Cricetulus griseus: one gene and its partners. The protein of the gene in region 1 interacts with the protein of each later gene in a biochemical or structural test. Links are inferred from orthologs where the notes say so. Each region holds a gene or a part of one and is shown on either strand. Other genes may lie near its edges.

Region 1 (4,297 bases):
AAAAGATCAGCTGTAAAGGGCCCAGGGATTCCTTCCTGCTGACCACATGAGCACTGCCTGTTGCAGAGTCAAGGCAGGAAATAAGTGAAAGTTATTACTCTGCAGAGTTACAGGCATCTCACAGTAAGTTAGCATCAGTCTGTGTTTGTAAAATATGCTTATTTAGTATGTATGGATAAATCAATCTGAAATACATAATGCTGCCAATATTAATTCAACACTACTATCATGTAGCTACATATGAAAATGACTGAGGGTAAAATAGTTCATTCATAAGAGATGAGCCAACCACTCGCCATCTAAGAACACAAGCAGAGCCGTCCTTTACACACCTGCCCGCCAGCTCCTTATCCAAGTACTTGGCAGCCAGTCTCGCCCCATAGACTTCAGCCTGGAGGACAGCTATGTGCCTTCGGAGGGCCTCGTTCTCCTTCCTTAGCAGCTTCACCTCAGCTTCAAGTTGAGCTTCTTTGACTTTTTCTGTTTTATTTGCTTCAAGCTCTCTTTCCTATTGTGATTTTTAAAACATAATTTTGTAACAATGTCTTTATGATTCTACATCCAGGAGACAGTTCTTCTTAAAAATACACACAAGCTCAGCATATAATACAAACAATGCAAACATGGGGAATTGGATTGGAACACCAAGGCTGAATTTAGTTCTTTCTTTTGTTTTTATATTTATTTTTAGTGCGAGTGCCACACATATGCGGGCTGTCCATGCAGAGAAAGGATCACATCCCTTAGAGCTGCAGTTCCTGGTGGTTTTAAGCAGGCTGATGGGGGTGTGCTGGGTCCTTTGGAAGAACAGCAAGTGCTCTTTTATTTGTTTGTTTGTTTGTTTGTTTTTCAAGACAGAGTTTCTCTGTGTAACAGCTCTGGCTGTCCTGGAACTCACTCTGTAGACCACATTGGCCTCAAACTGACAGAGATCTGCCTGCCTCTGCCTCCCAAGTGCTGGGGTTAAAGGCATGTGCCACCAACCCCCTGACTCAGCAAATGTTCTTAATTGCTGAGCCATCTCTTTAGATGATGATTGTTTCTTTGTTTTTTAACATAAAGTCTTGATAGATATCTCAGGCTGGCCTGCAACTCACTAGGTAGCCCAGGCTAGCCCCGAACCTGAAATCCTTCATCCCATCTCTCAAGTGCTGGGATTAGGGATACATAAAACAATGCCTGGCTGGATTTTCTTCTTTTAAAACCAGGAACACAGTGTTTTGGCCCTTCTTTTGGATAAGTGCATGCCGTGATGCACCCTGACACTACGAGAAGCAAGAGCAGTCTTCTTTAAGCAAGACACTGTGTCTACTTACTTTATAAACATGACTAAAGAAACTAGACTAATAGAAAAATAATAAGCCACCTACAATAGCTCATGACTGTAAGACTCTGGGGGTTGCAGTGGAGGGACCCTGAGTTCCCAGTCACCCTTGGCTACACACAGTTCCAGGCTAGCTTTTACCCACTGGACCATCACACTGTTCCACTCTTAGTTTTCAGAAACCACCATATAACCATGCATGGAGAGCCTGCAGTTACTATGTTAGAGCATACATTCAAAATTCTGTAGTAGAATGGCTATGGTGTGGAGTAGTCTCAATCTCTGGATCTAGTTCATGTATTTGTAACTTACAGCAGATCACAGAGTGATTTTTCTAAGGAAAACAACTTCTTCCCTTTGGCTCCTATGAAGTAAAATAGTCATCCATTTCAGCTCTCATAAAAGAAGCCATCTTCAGCCTTCTATGTGAAGCTACAGGTATTACAGGGCATAATCCCAAAATCATCACCATTAAGTTTTTGTCTTTCTGAAACACAGTTTATCTGCGTAGCCCTGGCTGCCCTGGAACTCACTCTGTAGACCAGGCTGGCCTCAAACTCAGAGATCTACGTCCTGAGTGCTGGGATTAAAGGTGCCACAATCGCTTGGCTAAAGTTTTACTGTAAGTTCATATATAAGAATTAATGTCCACTTTTCCCTGAGTTTATACAGTGTTTATACTCACAGACCATGGGATCAGGATCCAAGTATAAAATGGGAGGCTTCAAGTCAAAGCAGAATGCAAAATGGGAAGTACAAATCCTGCCCAAAGAAAGGCAAATTCCAAATCAGATGCTCACTATGTGTGTGACCAAACACACCTCTCCTGACAGCTGAATAGAGGCACCAGAGGTATTAGTTCTGAGTCAAAACTGCCCAAACACTCCACACTGGCATTTATCCTCATCAGAGCCACTCTTGCTGACTTACGGAAGTTCACAGAGACTAAGAAAATATGGTTATGCTTGTTCATGAGATAAGCGGACATTACTCAACTCATCATTGTGTCCCCTTTATGAATACTTCGCTTCTCACAAGGGAAAACTGTTTCTGTTGAGGAACTGGCAAATGTGTCAGTCTCTGTTATAGCCTACAACTACATAGTTATTTCCCTTTTATTCTAGCTATTGAGAAGGTATACAATAGATATGTACCCAGCCACTGGGAGGCTGGGAGGCAGGACAAATCAGGAGTTCAAAGCCAGCCTCGGCTATATAGCATGTTTGAAACTAGCCCAGGCTACCAAAGACCCTATCTTAAGCAAACAATTGAGCTGTAATCCCAGTACTCTGGAGGCAGAGGCATGAGAAATTGCTCAAGTGTAAAGCCAGCCTAGGCTATACAGCTAGTTCCAGGACAGTCAGTGCTATATAATGAGGTGTGTCTCAATAAAGGGGGTGGGGGAAAATACACAACAAATATAATTGTTGGCCAATTTGTTGAACATATTTTGGTACTAATTTAGTTGACGCTTTGTTCTATTTTGACCAACATCAAAAATGATGTTCAAATACAAGGTATAATGAAATCTTTTCTTTGAGTACAAATGTCTGTTACATATAAGGCTGGGAGTGTAGCTTAATGGTGGAATGCTTGCCTAGCATGGGTCTGATCCTAACTGGAGAACCCTGTCGATTTGATAAGAATATTTATTATATAACTGACAAACAGAAGGAAAATAAGCAGGTTTTTGTTTTCAGCTTTTGCAAAGATGCACACACACATGTCCACCCACAATTTCTAGACATTATTAAAAGGGATTTGAGAAGCTACTAATGCAGACTCTCTTTTATAGCAATTTTGGAATTATGAATCTCCATCCCTCCTGTTCTCCTTACCTTTCTTTCTCTCTGCGATAGTTCATCACATAACCCAGGCTGGCTGTGCCACCTAGCCTGATTTTATGTGGGGCTGGGAACTGACCCTGGGGCTCTATCCACGCTAGGCACACTCCACTCACCGAGCTTCATTCCCAGCCTGGAGACCAAGATTTCTTCAGTGTATAGGTTATATAAACACTACCAAAGGATTATCTCCTTCCAATTACTTTAATGAGCTAGTTACACTGGACTAATGAATTTCAGATACTTATGAGACTATCACTTTCTTTTAATAATTCAAATCCCCAAAGAATCGACAGTGCCTGAGACTTGAAATTAAGACATGAGAGCCAGCCAGCCAGCCACAGGGATGTACACCCATTTAACCCTAGTGCTTCAGGGGCAGAGGCAGGCAGACCTCTGTGAATTCAAGGGCAGCCTGTCATTTAAAAAATATGTAAAAAAGAATATGATTACCGAAACTGAAGAGAATTACTTTAAGATTTAGAGATAGTTTATAAATTTGTTTCCTGGTTAACCTTTTTGTATTGGGTAATAAGCATAAAGTTTGTTTCAAGTTTTAGACTTGTAAAAAGTGAATTTTCAGAAGTGGTAAAGTCATGAAGAATTTATATACTGTTACTGTCTAAAATCATTTCTGATAAAAAATTTAAAATGCAATGTTTTAAAGGCTACACAATCATTACCAAACCTGCTAGAAGGTTCTAACACATGCAGTGGATGAAGGAATCGCATGCACGCTCTCTTAATGGGAACGAGGGCAGACAGAAACTTGATGGGGGTAAAAACTAGGCCTGGTTAATACACCTTCAATACCCTCATGCAGGTATTTTTGCCGAAGTAGATGTGTGAGCAAGTTACAAGACTCAAAAGTTGTCAAAAATTGATGGGCTCTGCTAATAATGGCTGTAAGTCACAAATGAAAGGTAAGTCTTTAGCCACATGCAGTGAGAAAAACACAAAGGGCACCCTCTGACCTTTTCAGGTATCCGAACATGGAAAAACTGGCATTAACACTGTTTTCAAATACAAAGTGTGACAACAGGTAATACACAAAACACCAGAACACTTCAGCATGACACATTAAATAAAGCAAGAGAAACAACAGACTTACCAGCTCCTCCACAGAGGG
Region 2 (4,783 bases), about 240 Mb from region 1:
AGCAGCCGTATAGTATACTGAATAAAGTCCTAAAAAGACTAGGGTGGATTGGAAAGATAGCTCAGTGGTTAAGAGCACTTGCTGCTCTTCCAGAGGACCTGAGTTCAAATCCTAGCACCCATGTAGAGCAGCTCACAATCGCCTGTTACTTCAGCTTCAGGGAATCCAATGCTCCTGCTGACACCAACACATGCTCGCATGCACGCACGCACACACACACACTCATGAGAATAACACAAATAAATCTTTAATAATAATTTTTTAAAAGGCCTATGGGGAGGAGGTTTAGCTCAGAGGTAGAGTGCCTGTCTAGCACAAACAAGGCCCTAGAAGAAGGGAAGGAAAGGAAAGGAAGGAAAGGGGTTGAGGAACAGACTAGACCTTTGGCTTCTTGGAGCACTCCATTCTCCTCTCTTCCTCAGGAGCACCAATTGGGAGGATGGACACCTGCTCAGAACCCCTAGAGCACTGCACCCCTTCCCAGAGTCGGAAGACATGCCTCTTCCCACTTAAGGGTGCAGAGCAGCTCCTGGAAAAGTCAAGAGCAGAACAGAACAGATGGAGAAAGATAGTACATGCCCCGCAGGCAGGAAGCAGCCCCAGGAACTGGGGTCTGAGCCCAGCATTGGCAGCCCTGTACACTGCTGGAGCCTGGGGGCCAAGTGCCAGGACACCGCTAGCCCTCCGCCAAGGCTGGACAAGGGCCCTGCGGACTGAGAAGTTTGTGCCAACATCCGGAGCTGCTCTTGGAGTACCTGCCACCTGTGCCAGTTTAAACCTAGCCCATGCTCATCTTTAAGTCTCCATTGCTTGGTAGGAAACAGCAAGAGCCCTGAGTTCCAATCCTGCCCCACATATTAATGCAGGTGCCAGCATTTCTAAATTCAGCTGTCCCCTCTGAAAATGGGAGTCATAATTTCTATCTTGAGAAGTTGTGAAAATTAAAGTCATATAACATCCATGGACACCAGATAGTGAAGCCTGGCAGGATAGGGCCTGGAGACCAGACTCTCTTGTTTTTGCCCAAACCAAGAAAACCCAGGCAGCATCCTCACCCACACTTCGGACTGGTTTATTCCACCTGGGCCCAGCAGCCCACTTTTTGGTGATAGCAATGGGAAGGCAGGGCAATTCAGATCCCAAACCTCTTTTGCCAAATGCCCCTGCCAGCCCCCTTACCTGCTTCCTTCCTGGCTAGAAGCTGCCCACAATGGCGCCAGTACCTGCGGGTCAGGCACATGTATCGCTTACATGCCATCTGCACTAAGAACAGCAAGGCCCTGTTCTCAAGTAAGAATGCACACCCTCACTGCCCCATGGCTCCTGTTACCCAGACAATAACACCCAGTCCACTGGCACCTCCATGGCCCGGGGGGAGGGGACACCAACAGCAGTACCCAGGGTTTTGCACCTTGTCAGGCCCAGGAAGCAGATTTAGAAGTGCATTTGTGGCAGTGAAAAGAGAAGCCCAAGAGAGCCGGAACATGGACTACGGGCCACTCAGCATTTCTGAAGTAAAACTCATTGTAAACTCCTCTCCCCATCCCAGGAAATCCGACAGTCTCCTCTCCCCAAATTCAGGTGCAACAGTGTTCAAACTAAGAAGTTTCCGGTTTAACCTGGCCCCTATGAAGCTGGCTGTGGCCTCAGGATTTCCCAAAGGGAAGCAGGAAGTGCTGCCCTGGAGGAGGCCAGGGCTACCAGATCTCTACCCTCCCTGCTAGTGTAACACTGTGAATCGCCAGGCTAAGTCCCTCCCTAACCATACCCAGCTCAGCTCGACCTTCCTCTGGAGGCCCAGGTGGCAGGGGCGTGCCCAGGCAAAGGAATACACCTCTGAGCCTTCCCGCAGGCCTTGTGCCCAGCCCTGAGGTGGGGGGGAAGGCAACAGGGGCTGCACAGGGCAGTGCTCCTCACCTACCAGGGTGAGTCAGCGAGAGAACCTCTGAGGGCTGTGTAGGGCCTGTAAAAACCCCATGGCAGGGATCCCAGAACAATTTACTCCAAATTGCGCCTTCAGGTTGGTTACCTAATCCAGCCGCGCCCACCCTCCAATAGCCAGTGTAGCCCATCCCTTTAAAGGGGCAGCATGCTCTGGGTGCCTGAAGACCTGGGGTCCCCACTGTGGATCCCTCTACCTGTGGCCCTGACAGGCAGGACCGATGGTGACTGCCCTGAGGTCCCAAACATAGGTAAGGGTTCAAGCCAGCAGAAAGATCATCTAGGTTCTGGGGTCAAGTGAGGTCTCCATCTGTCTTCTGTACCCTAACAGCTCCAGTTAAGGCAAAGTTTCACCTGCCTCCTTCCCAGTATGAGAGCAGGGCAAAGTTTTCAACTTGCTGGTTTAAGACTTGACCTTGATCCCAGGGTCACTGGACACCACCAAAAGTGGCCTCCTACATGCTCAGGGTTGGACCACAAAGCCCTGGTAGGATAGGAGCTGCTTCTGGGAGAGACTAGATGGTAGAAGCCACACTGCCCAAGGGCCCAGCCTTTTCTCCAGGAAAGGAAGAAGGAGGGAGAGAGGAAGACGGATGCGGGGTCTCTTCCCCAGAGACAATCTTCACAAGGTCTAAGGGCTCTCCCCTCTCTTCAGCATAACCTGAAGGAGGAGACCCGTGTGTCATTAGCATTAGGGCAAAGGAAACCAGGAGGTCCCCACTCCAGAGGTGGTAAAATCCCACATTCCATAACTGCCACGGTCCAGAAGGGCTACCTTCCTAAGGTCAGAAGTGGAGGAACGAAGAGAGCTCTTGAAGAGAAGATACGGGGAGAAACCAGATTCCCATGATCCTTGTCTCTAACAGAACCTCAGACATCTGACCCAAGCCTTTCCCTTCTGCAATGACTGGGGCAACTCCCACAGCTCCCAAAAGATGATAAGCGGGACGAGTCCTAGGGGTGCTTAGGGTGTCAAATCTCGAGAGCCCGTGGGGTTCCCTCTCCTGGCTACTGCAAGGAGGTACTGAGCGTCCAGCAGAACCGTGCCCTGCACACGCACACCCGGAGCACAGGGGGGTGGAGCCGGCCAGTGGGCTAGAGACCAGAGGGCACTCGCGTCCTCGCGGGGCTGCAGAGACGACGCGGGCCGCCCCGCCCCTGTGCGGATCCGCGGGCTGGCCGGCCGGCCGCCGCCGCCTGTCCCCCGCCCCTCTCACTCACCTCCGGGTCCAGCGGCACCAGCTCCATGAGCGGCCAGGGCTCCTTGAGCTGGGCGAGCGGCATCGCGCCGCCGCCGACCCGCTCGCGCTGCTCTCGGCGGCCCCGGGCTGCGCTGCCTCCGGGCCCCGGGGTCCCCGGCGCTGCACTGAGACCCCCCGCGCGCCCGCGCCCTCGCGCTCCGGCTGGGCCGTCCGCCGCCGCCGCCGCCGCGGCACTCGCACTTCGGCTCCCTCCGTCACCCGGCGCCGCCGCGCCCATTGGCTACCTGCGCGGGGGCGGGGCCTGGGCAGCCCCGCCCATCCCCACGGCGCGGCATTCCCGGCGCGGACCCCCGCCCCCAACGCGCTGGGAGTCGGCCCCGCCTTCCCTCGAGCCCCTGGCCCACTCGGGGCCCTGCCCGCCGGAGAGTCTGCGGCTTCCTTCTTCCCGGCCTGTGTGTCCCCGCGCAGACCCCGCCCGGGCCACCGTTGTCCCGTCCTCGCAGCATTTGGAATCTTAACCCAGATGTGCCTTCTCCCTCCAGCGGGAGGGGCTGCCACCCTACCAGGGATGTCCTGGGCCTGATCCAGACAGAGGCTTGGAAGGATCCGGGGCCGTGTGTCCTCAGGCTCTCCCTCCGCAAGCCTCCGCACAGCAGGGAGCCCACCTGGGGTCTCTTAAGTGATCCCCATGTCCCAGCGTCAGGACCCACAGCGCCCCCAGGGTGATTTCTCAACACGCATTTTTTCCCTCCCAGTCTGTGCCCTATCGCTTGAGGGCGCTGGTTTCAGGCCAGGTCCAGCGTCTCTTCCGCGCCAGGCCGGATGGTGGTCTGGTTTGAACTTGAAGCCCTGTGAAGAGGGCAAAGTCTAGGCCTAGTGGGGTCACGATTCCCTCAGGCAGGATTTGGCCTACGCCTAAAGAGGTCGTAGGGCCCAGGTGTGGTCTCAGGTGAGATAGCCCAACGACAAGCTGGTTAGTTTCCTAAAAGCCTCCTGCCGTGTGTGTGTGTTTGTGTGTGTGTGTGTGTGTGTATGTGTGTGTGTGTGTGTTTGTGTGTGTGTGTGTGTGTGTGTGAGTGTGTGTGTGTGTGTGTGTGTGTGTGTGTGTCTGTGAGTGTGTTTGTGTTCCCTTGCTTAGTTGGTTCTGGGTATGGGAGCCAGGCTTTGCACGCTAAGTTGCATTTGGTACCATGGACCTATACCTCCAGGTGGCTTGTGATTCTCTTGAGAACTCACCACCTCCTACTAGACACTCAGAAATAGGAAGTGATTTATCCAAAGTCACACAGGATCGGGAGTACATTCGTCTTTAGAAGGGTGTGGGATGGACTTGTGAGACGGCTCAATGGGTAAATGAGCTTGCCTGCGAGACCGATGCTGTGGGTGACTCTCAGGTCCCAGATGGTGAAGGAGAGAACCAACACCCACAAGTTGTCCTCTGACCTCCACAAACGTGCTCTGGCCCAGAGACAACTTCTCCCAATAAATTTGCATGCAATAACATTTTTAAGTGAGGTGTAATGGTGCACGACTTTAATTCTAGCATTAGGAAGGCAACAGAGCCTCTGAATTCCAGGCTGGCCAGAGCTACATAGTGATACTCTGTTTCAAAAAAAAAAAAAAAAAAAGTAAGTAAATGA
Region 3 (3,720 bases), on another chromosome or scaffold:
GAAGAGGGATAACAGGTTCCTCAGGGACTTGGCCCTCTCTGGCGCTGGCATTTGCACTCTCTCACACAGTAGGTCTTTCCAGGCTGTGCTGTTTGCACTGGGAGCAGTTCCTGCCTGATACCCGTTCACCTTGCCCCCTTTCCAAGAACAGAGTCCTAGTCTTAAGGAGAAGGAGTGCTATTAATTCCCCCATGTGTTCTCAGTCTCTGAACCTCAGGGATGCCTCCGTAGAGTCTTTCCTCAGGGCCACCCTTACTGGGCCACTCTGAATAGACCAGATCCTGGTGAGTCTATTCCTCTTCTCACTCTTCACTGTGTGTCTGCTCTGCACACCCACTCCCACTGTGGAGGCCAAGGCCTCACTTTCTTCATGCTAGAGAAAGATGTGGAAAGGCCAGAGCAGGGCCCCAGAGTAGGGTTTTATCTCTGTCCCAGGGCCAGTGCAGCAGCTTCTCCTGTTGCCTCAAAGTACATGCAGCTGCAAGTGACAGAGGCCTCGGACTGTGAGCAGAGGCCAGGGTCAAGCACACATGGATGCTTTTCATTTGGCTTCCATGCTGACCAGAACATGGACACAGCAGTGGTTGAGGGCCCAGCACAGCTTCAGGGTGGGCAGTCACTGGCACAAACCAACAGTATCTCCTGGCTTCCTCCTGGGAAATTGCTTCTTGGCCTGAGAGGCTGACAAGTATGCCACATAGAGAGTGAAGGTGCCTGATTATTTCCTGGGGGGGGGCAAAACTCAGCCCTTCCTCCCTGCCAAGTCTGTCTCATGATCTCCAAACTCTCAGACCCTGGCCTGGCAGGACATTTTGATGAAAGAGATGGTCAGTCACCACAGGACACCAGCTGTACTATCTACCCATGGCTTAGCCTCAGGCAGCTCTCTTCACACTGCCACCAAGAGGAGTCCAACTTGTAGACCTGGGGACAAGAGCATCTCAGCACACCCACATCCTAGAAGACAACATCAGCAGGACCCTGGTACGACTGGGGCACTCAAAGCCTGCTGGTCTGCATGAGTCCATTGGCGTCACAGCTGCGTGTGGGCAGTGTGGCCTGTGGCCGTCCACTCTTGTCTGGACGTGGCTCTATGGCATCTGCATCCTCCATACCGTATCCTCTACGTAGGCACAGAACCTTCCGGAAACTCTGGCGGAAGTTATCAGAGAGAAAGCCATAGAGCAGGGGATTGGCACAGCTGTTAGCATAAGACAGGACCACCACGAAGAAGTAGAGGCCAGCAGAGGCAGGTTCCTCAGGCAGTGTGAAGGCCAGGTTGACAATGTTGACAATGAAGAAAGGCAGCCAGCAGCCCACGAACACTAGCACTACCACCACCACCATGCGAGTCACCTTGCGCTCTGAGCGCCGTCGCCGAGAGGAGCCTACACGCACACCTGCAGCCTTCACCTTCACCACAATGAGCAGGTAGCACAAACAGATGACCAGCAGGGGCCCAAAGAAGCCCAGGACAGATGTGTAGGTTATGAAGGCTGCGCCCCACAGTTCCACAGGTTCTGGCCAGCTTAGGTTGCAGGTACCCCAGCCCTCCTGGACATCTGCGAAGACCAGGAGTGGCAGAGACATGAGCAGTGAGAAGACCCAGACAGCGGCGCTGGCCAGCTTGGCTACCCTCGGGCGACGCCATCGGGCTGAGCGGAGAGGGTGGACCACAGCTAGGTAGCGGTCAACACTCATGACCATCAGGCAGAAGATACTGGTGAACTGGTTGATGCCATCCAGCGTCATGACCAGGCGGCACAGGAAGGGGCCAAAGGGCCAGTAGGAAACGGCGTTCTGTGTAGCCAGGAAGGGAAGCCCCAACATAAGCAATACGTCAGCCACAGCCAGGTTCAGGATGTACACATTAGTAACTGTCTTCATCTTGGCATGCCGCAGCACCACATAGATGACCAGTGTATTTCCACCCAGGCCTACCGTGCACACCAGCAAGTAGAGCACAGGCACCAGTACTGCCCGGGCTCCCATCGACGATACCGGGCTCACCAGTGACCAGTTATGGTTACTACTGGAAGCAGCTGAGGCATTCCAGATGGGTGTGGAAGCTGGGAAGAGGGGCTCCATGCTGCCAGCTTCAGGCCAGGTACCAGCCCACGTGGGGCTCTGCAAGAGAAGAGGGTGTTATGAGTGAGCACATTCAGGCATTCCTTCCTCCAGCCATCCCCAGCCCGCCTGCCCGACGGTGGTGGGTAAACAACATTAGTCATGTTCAACTTGGTCGGGAATTGCATTAAGCAAATTGTTTGGAAAACAAGCTGGAGAGAAAGAAGAAGCCACTGTGACACCCCCCCTCGTCCCCTGGGCTTGGCCTACTGTCAAGCACCCTCTCTCAAAACCTCTCAGAGCCCTGGAGGGCAGCATTTCAGGAAAGTGACATAAGCTCAGTGGGTATCACCTTCCAGGGGTCCCCAAACTATGAGAAGTGGCTGATAGAGAAGGATGGGGAGGCTGAGATGCCACGCTTGCAGTAAGCTGATCATACTCAACACATGTGGCACCCTAGGTCTGCTCTGCCAGTAAGTTGAAGGTTGGACTCTCTCTGGGGTGGGAGATCCTAGGGAATGCTGTCCCCAGTAGACAATTTCTACTCCCAACAGGGCCTAAGCCTCTCTGCAGCAGCGATGACTCCAGAGGTCCCTGTGCCTAGTGCAGGGAGGGAAAACATGGAACTGACGTAACAGCCAACAGTAACACATCAGGCTGTGGGCAATGCCTGGGGGGGGGCATACAGCCCAGCACATGGCAGAACCAGGAGAACTAAAGCCTGGGAAGCAGAGTAAGGACACAGGGCCTGCTCATGGGCTTTGTGAAGAAAGTAGAGCGGCTGTTGTGGGAGGACAGTGTCTGACAGATGAGTGGCAGGTGCATACACTCTCTCTTGCTTTTGTTTCTTTGTGTTTGAGTCTTTCATAAAAGCGAAGATGCCCAAGAGGAAACAAACACCTCTGCTGCTGGGAAAGGAAGAGATGGGCAGGACTGGTGTCTATGGTTGGGCAACTAGCAAGGAACTGAAGTACCTGGAGGTCACAGGCCAGGGACAGGCCGTGGGGAGGCAGGAGCCCTCAGCCTGAGTCAGGCTGTCCACTACCTATTCCACCCTCAGAAACCTGGGCCTGCTCAGCTGATCTGTAATGGCGTGAACCATGGCAGACATGGGACACTCCAACAGCTGTAAGAGCAGAACCTCGTTGTGGGGTAACCAGGATCAAGCAGAGGCAACTGCAATCTGAAGAACAAGGAAAGGCAGGCTGGAGTGTGGGGATCCTAGAGTGAACAGCAGCAGCAGCAACAAGGAAATGAAAATGTTCTTCCCCACAAGCCAATGCACCAAAGTCCAAGTTCTCAAGGCTCAAGGATGCTAAGGAGTATGACCTGAAAAACCAAGGAGAAGGGACCAGCAGTGGATTCACCTGGAAAAATTGAAATAAAATAAGACGATTTAACTAGTATACCTAGAACATGTTTCAATAAGTGTTAAGATCTTTGAGTAAAGCATGGATAAAATATTATAAGGAGAAGGAGTAAATAGAGCAGGTCCCCCAACTTTGAAGTCACAGAACTTGGGCATGGAAAATACAGTCATTTAGTGCCAGGAAAGGCATCCCATCAGTTAAGAGTGTAGGTTGGTCTTGCAGAGACCCAAATTTGATTCCTGCATTTATGTTGGGCAGCTCACAACTGCCTGTAACTCCAGCT
Region 4 (4,748 bases), on another chromosome or scaffold:
GATATAAAATGAATGAAACAGGTCGGGCAGTGGTGGCACATGTCTTTAATCCCTGCATTCAGAAGGCAGAGGCAGGCGATCTCTGTAAGTTTGAGGCCACCCTGGTCTACAGAGCAAGTTTCAGGGCAGCCAGGGCTACACAGAGAAATCCTGTCTCGAAAAAACAGCAAAACAAAACAAAACAGAAAGAATAAAAGATGTCCTGTCCCAAGGGTGATTGCATCCTAGCGGGAGACAGAGTGATTGAGCAAGCATGTGCTATCCTGTGAGAAATACTACAAACAATGTACGGAAATAAAGACGAACTAGATGCTATTTTAATTTGGAGTTTCTCTAAAACACTAAGTTTAATTATGAACTTGAAGGGAGGGAGGGAGTCATGGGCATAGATGGTGAAGAGGGAGCAGCCGATACAAAGGTCCTGAGGCAGGTGTTTGCTGAGGTCTCTGGGGTTGACATTCTCGTCACTGTGTCACGCAGATAACAGATAAGGGCCCTTTGAAGGGTGGCCCAGTTTCTGCTTGTGCACAGTTGGGCACTGGTTTCTTCTGTCAAGTTGGCCACACAATTCCCTCCCTATCAAGCTTAGTGCCCTAATGTGCGCAGAGGGCCCTCGTGCTGTAGGTAATGCTGGAAGGAAACTAGAACCATGCTCCTGTCCCAGTTAGGAGTGGTCTTCCATCACACGCTTCTGAGTGAACCACAGAGGGTGTGAGCACTTGGCAGCCCCCTTTCAGGTAGGAAGATCTGATCTACCTATCTGATTTGAGACTGGGGACACTCCTCCGAGGCTTCCTGGGGAGCAGGAAGGTGCTCTAGGGCAACCTCAAAGATGGGTACTCCTGCTAGGAGGAGAGTGCTCTGGGATGAAAGGGCAGTTGCTCTGTTTGGGTGACACGGCACAGACAGAGGCACGGGGCAGGCAGGCAGTCTTGGCACCTCGGGTTAAGCTGCCTCTTTAGCAGGGTGAAGAAAGGTGTCTCTGTAGAGTGTGGGCCACACGAAGAGAGAGGTAGAAGCCTGTGAGGCTTCCTGCCTTGTGCTCTGACCACTCCTGATGTTTGCACTCAATACCTTGTAGAAGTCCAGGCACATAGTAGGTGCTGAAGAAACCATAGGGCCATATACAAGTTTAGTGTGCTCAGGGAAAACTGCAGGGCTGACACTGCACCTCCAAGTGACACTGTGTCTCCAAGTAACATTGGGCCCTGGATATGACAGATCTCTTAAGTGACCACATAATGTATTAAATCTGAAATCAGGCTCAGTTGGCTCAACCCCTGTGGCCAGTGCTTGGCAACTGTGTGTGCTCAGTCCAAGTTACTCAACCTTTCTGAGTGTAAGGTTCCTTTTCTCTAAAGCGGGAACCAAAATCCTTGCTGAATCTATTGTGATGACCGGATGAGGCTGAGCACCTAGAATTGTGCCCAACATGAAGTGGACATCCACACGAATCAGCTGTTATTATTACGGTTTGTTGTTCATCGTTACCGCCTTAAGAACAGCGATGGGAACTAGTGACCCCACGTCCTCCTGAGCCCTGACTCCACTTATCTGGGGTGTTACTAGTCAGTAATTCTATTACTTTCTGGCACAGTCATACTCATGCCATGATTTTATAAGTTGCCAAGTCTATAATCTGTCACATGATGGGGGCCTTGGCCATGGGAACCTAGCCCCTCCTTACTTCTGGCATGAGGCATGTGCAAGGCCCCCAAAGGTTTCAGCACAGTGCCAGCCACTCGGGCCAGACGCCCATCCATCTGTCCCGGGCCCTCCACCCCACTCTCACCATCTGTCTCTGCCAATGCCCATCAGATGACAAATGGCCAGAGCGGAGGCCACTGTGGAAGGTGATGGATTGCATCCTATGGAGCCAGGCAGGCTGGGAGGGGGTGGGGCATCCAGCACAAATCACGGAAGAATGAACATCATCCCTCACAGCCTGCTGCCTCCAAGGACAGGTGACACCTGTGTGGCTCCAGGGTGTCACTTCTCTTGAATAGGAGCAAGTTAATGGAGCCTGACCTGGCCTGGGGTGGAGAGGAGGGACGGGGACCTTTCCTCCAGGCATCCTCCCTGCCTGTCCTTGGCTGCCACTGCTGATAGGCTGAGAGCAACGCACTCCCTGCTCAACCCAGCCAGTGGGTAGTCCAATGCTGGGACGGCCAGGGCCTTCTTCACCTTGGTGAGTCCTTCTGCCAACTTAGCCACTGGTGTTCAATCACTGACTGCTCTATCTCTAGGCTCACTTAAAAACCCCTCCTTCAGGAAGGCTTCTGGGATTTGCCCTACCCCTATCCTAGCCTCCCTGACACCCTCCGTTGTAGTAAGCAAGCAATCGTAGGGTGTACTTTCTCTTTCTCCTAGGTGCACAGTAAGTACTTTGAAAAAGCTACCCATGATTATACCCAGTAGCTGTCTGGATGTTACAGCTTATGAAACAAACCTGCAAAACTCAGTGCATTTAACCTCAGGATCCCCCTCCCTCAATTTGGGCAAAGCAAAGCCCAAAGAAGTCCAGGGCATCATCTTCCTGTGAGTACCAGTATTGGGAACTGAACCCGGGTCCTCTAGAAGAACGCGCAGTGCTCTTAACCACTGTGTTATCTCTCCAGCCCCTTACCTAGAATTTTCTATTGGGCAGGTATTGAGCATCACCAGGGAGCCAGACTGCCTTTGCAACCCAGGCTCTAGCACTTAGTGCTTGTCTGTGCCTCAGTTGCCTTTGGAGTCAGATGGGTGACAGGATCTCAAATCCCTGGTGCTAGCAGCATGTAGCCTTACTCTCCAGCATATTTAGCAACAGCAGCAGCCTTGGACCTTTTGCCAATATCCTCAGCAGTGAGGCCTGGAGGGCTTTCCCCTGTTGCCCCCTGGGATGGTGACCACAAGGCACCTTTGCTGAGTGTGTTTCCTGTGCCCACAGACGAGGCTCCTGGATAACTACAGGCCCCTTTACCCTCACTGACTCCAGTTCCAGAGATTTTTCTATACAGGTCGCTGCTCAGAGCTCTAGGGAAGGAGATCCTGTGGGAACCTGGGAGCTAAGGGGCAGGGATGACTCACCAGAGACATTGCTGGCCAGGGACAGGCTCTCACAGCGCTGGTCTTGCAGGGAGGTGGAGACAGGGTTCAGCCCCAGGAGGAGAAGGGCCTGTGGACACAAGGGGGTACAGGACACTGTTAGGGGGGTACTCATCAGTCTGAGCTGATGATTCTTGCCCCCCCTCCTCTGCCCAGCATCCTACCCTTGCCCAGTCTCCTGGTCCCATCCAGAATGTTTGAAATTGCCTGGTTCACGCAGGGCCTGGAATGGAGGCACAGACCCCAAACATGTCTAACGCGGTCGCTCCAAGTGCATGCACACACATTTGCACACAACCCTCCACCTTCCTTACCTCTGTGGTATTTCAGGCCCGTGGTTATGAGCTCCTCCTGAGCCTTCATCCCTGTCAATGACTACCAGTCATTGCAAATTGAGCCTCATGTTTCAAGCTCTTCCGATGTCCTGCGATATCTACAATGGCTTAATTCACCCCGGGGACAGCATGGATATGGCTACTGAAGATGGGGAAACTGAGGCGCTAAAGAAATGATTGTGTCTGGGAAGATGGGTCACCTATTCCAGGGAAGGCCTTTAACCCTACTGAGGGCCCAGTGTTACTCTGACTCCAGGGTTTCAGCCATGAGTCCTATGACCGGAAGACGATCCCTTCTTGAATGAACAGCCCCACCCCAACAATGATGAGCACTTTCTTGGGTTACTATCCTCTCTACAGGTGGGAGTCTGGATGAGTGGGCCATGTGACCTCTCCGGGCCTCAGTGTCCTTGCTCTAAAGCAAGTGCAGGCCTCCCCTGTGTCTGTGCTTACACTGTATTCATTCTGGCAATGAGGCTAATGAATGATGTTTTTGGGTACACAATGGGCGCTCAATGAGGATTTACATACTCAGTAGTTGTTAGCTGACCTAACTAGGGAGGTGGAGATGGGCTGGGGCCTCGTCTGTTGGGATTCATTCTGCAAATGGGGTCCAGAAGCATGTGGGGTGGGAGAGGGGAACTACGACAGGCTGTCTTTTCTCCACTGGGGACCTAACCACCGTGAGAAGAATCCCCAGGTAGGATGGCAACCCTGGGAGTGTTCTCCACATAGTCACCCCACTCTGCTCTCCTGTTCCCTCTTTAGGGGTCCTAGGATCAAGAGGATTATCAATAAGGACCACCACATCCAGCTTGAGAAGCAAATGGAGCCCTAGTTTTAATTTGACTGTGGATGGGCTAAGTCAGTCTCTCTCTCTCTCTCTCTCTCTCTCTCTCTCTGTGTGTGTGTGTGTGTGTGTGTGTGTGCATGTGTCCCCATCTGTCTATCTGTCCATCTGTCTGGCTCCCTTCAGGGGCCAGTCCCCCCAGCCTCACCAGTACTCACTTCCCCTTCTGTCATATATTGATGACAAAGGCAGGCTCTTCTGCCTTCTTTCCCACCATGCATTTGTATTCCTGACCACAGCCTGGACCCACTCCCATAAGAGCCATCCCTAATCCTGGTGACTTACAGAGCCACACTATACCCTTAAGTCCTTAGTGGGCTTTCATCCATTCCCCCACCTCAGGCACCCTCCCTCCATCTCACCCCAGGACTCTTACTGACACAAGTATGAAACTCAACAGTCTCCAGTCCCCCCATTCTGTGCAGGTACAGGTGCTGCTCTGCTATCAGCCCTGGGGACAGGGAACTCACTCCTGG

What was found.
Region 2: the proteins of Gopc (region 1) and Rps6ka1 interact in a test that uses a peptide from one of them, tested with the Homo sapiens proteins (2 studies listed by BioGRID and IntAct, with this or other methods). The link is inferred for Cricetulus griseus from reciprocal best matches to the Homo sapiens genes GOPC and RPS6KA1.
Region 3: the proteins of Gopc (region 1) and Sstr5 form a complex in vitro, tested with the Homo sapiens proteins (2 studies listed by BioGRID and IntAct, with this or other methods). The link is inferred for Cricetulus griseus from reciprocal best matches to the Homo sapiens genes GOPC and SSTR5.
Region 4: the proteins of Gopc (region 1) and corticotropin-releasing factor receptor 1 form a complex in vitro, tested with the Homo sapiens proteins (2 studies listed by BioGRID and IntAct, with this or other methods). The link is inferred for Cricetulus griseus from reciprocal best matches to the Homo sapiens genes GOPC and CRHR1.

Annotation. Positions count from the first base shown.
Region 1 is NC_048595.1:256,523,264-256,527,560, reverse strand, and holds part of Gopc (Golgi-associated PDZ and coiled-coil motif-containing protein), read right to left. Parts: coding exon 4,280-4,297; intron 509-4,279; coding exon 333-508; intron 1-332.
Region 2 is NC_048595.1:19,392,709-19,397,491, reverse strand, and holds the start of Rps6ka1 (ribosomal protein S6 kinase alpha-1), read right to left. Parts: upstream 3,352-4,783; 5' UTR 3,226-3,351; coding exon 3,163-3,225; intron 1-3,162. UniProt on the Homo sapiens protein: Serine/threonine-protein kinase that acts downstream of ERK (MAPK1/ERK2 and MAPK3/ERK1) signaling and mediates mitogenic and stress-induced activation of the transcription factors CREB1, ETV1/ER81 and NR4A1/NUR77, regulates translation through RPS6 and EIF4B phosphorylation, and mediates cellular proliferation, survival, and differentiation by modulating mTOR signaling and repressing pro-apoptotic function of BAD and DAPK1.
Region 3 is NC_048600.1:45,082,231-45,085,950, forward strand, and holds Sstr5 (somatostatin receptor type 5), read right to left. Parts: upstream 2,162-3,720; 5' UTR 2,089-2,161; coding exon 1,000-2,088; downstream 1-999.
Region 4 is NC_048600.1:117,186,918-117,191,665, reverse strand, and holds the start of corticotropin-releasing factor receptor 1, read right to left. Parts: upstream 3,276-4,748; coding exon 3,252-3,275; intron 3,158-3,251; coding exon 3,070-3,157; intron 1-3,069.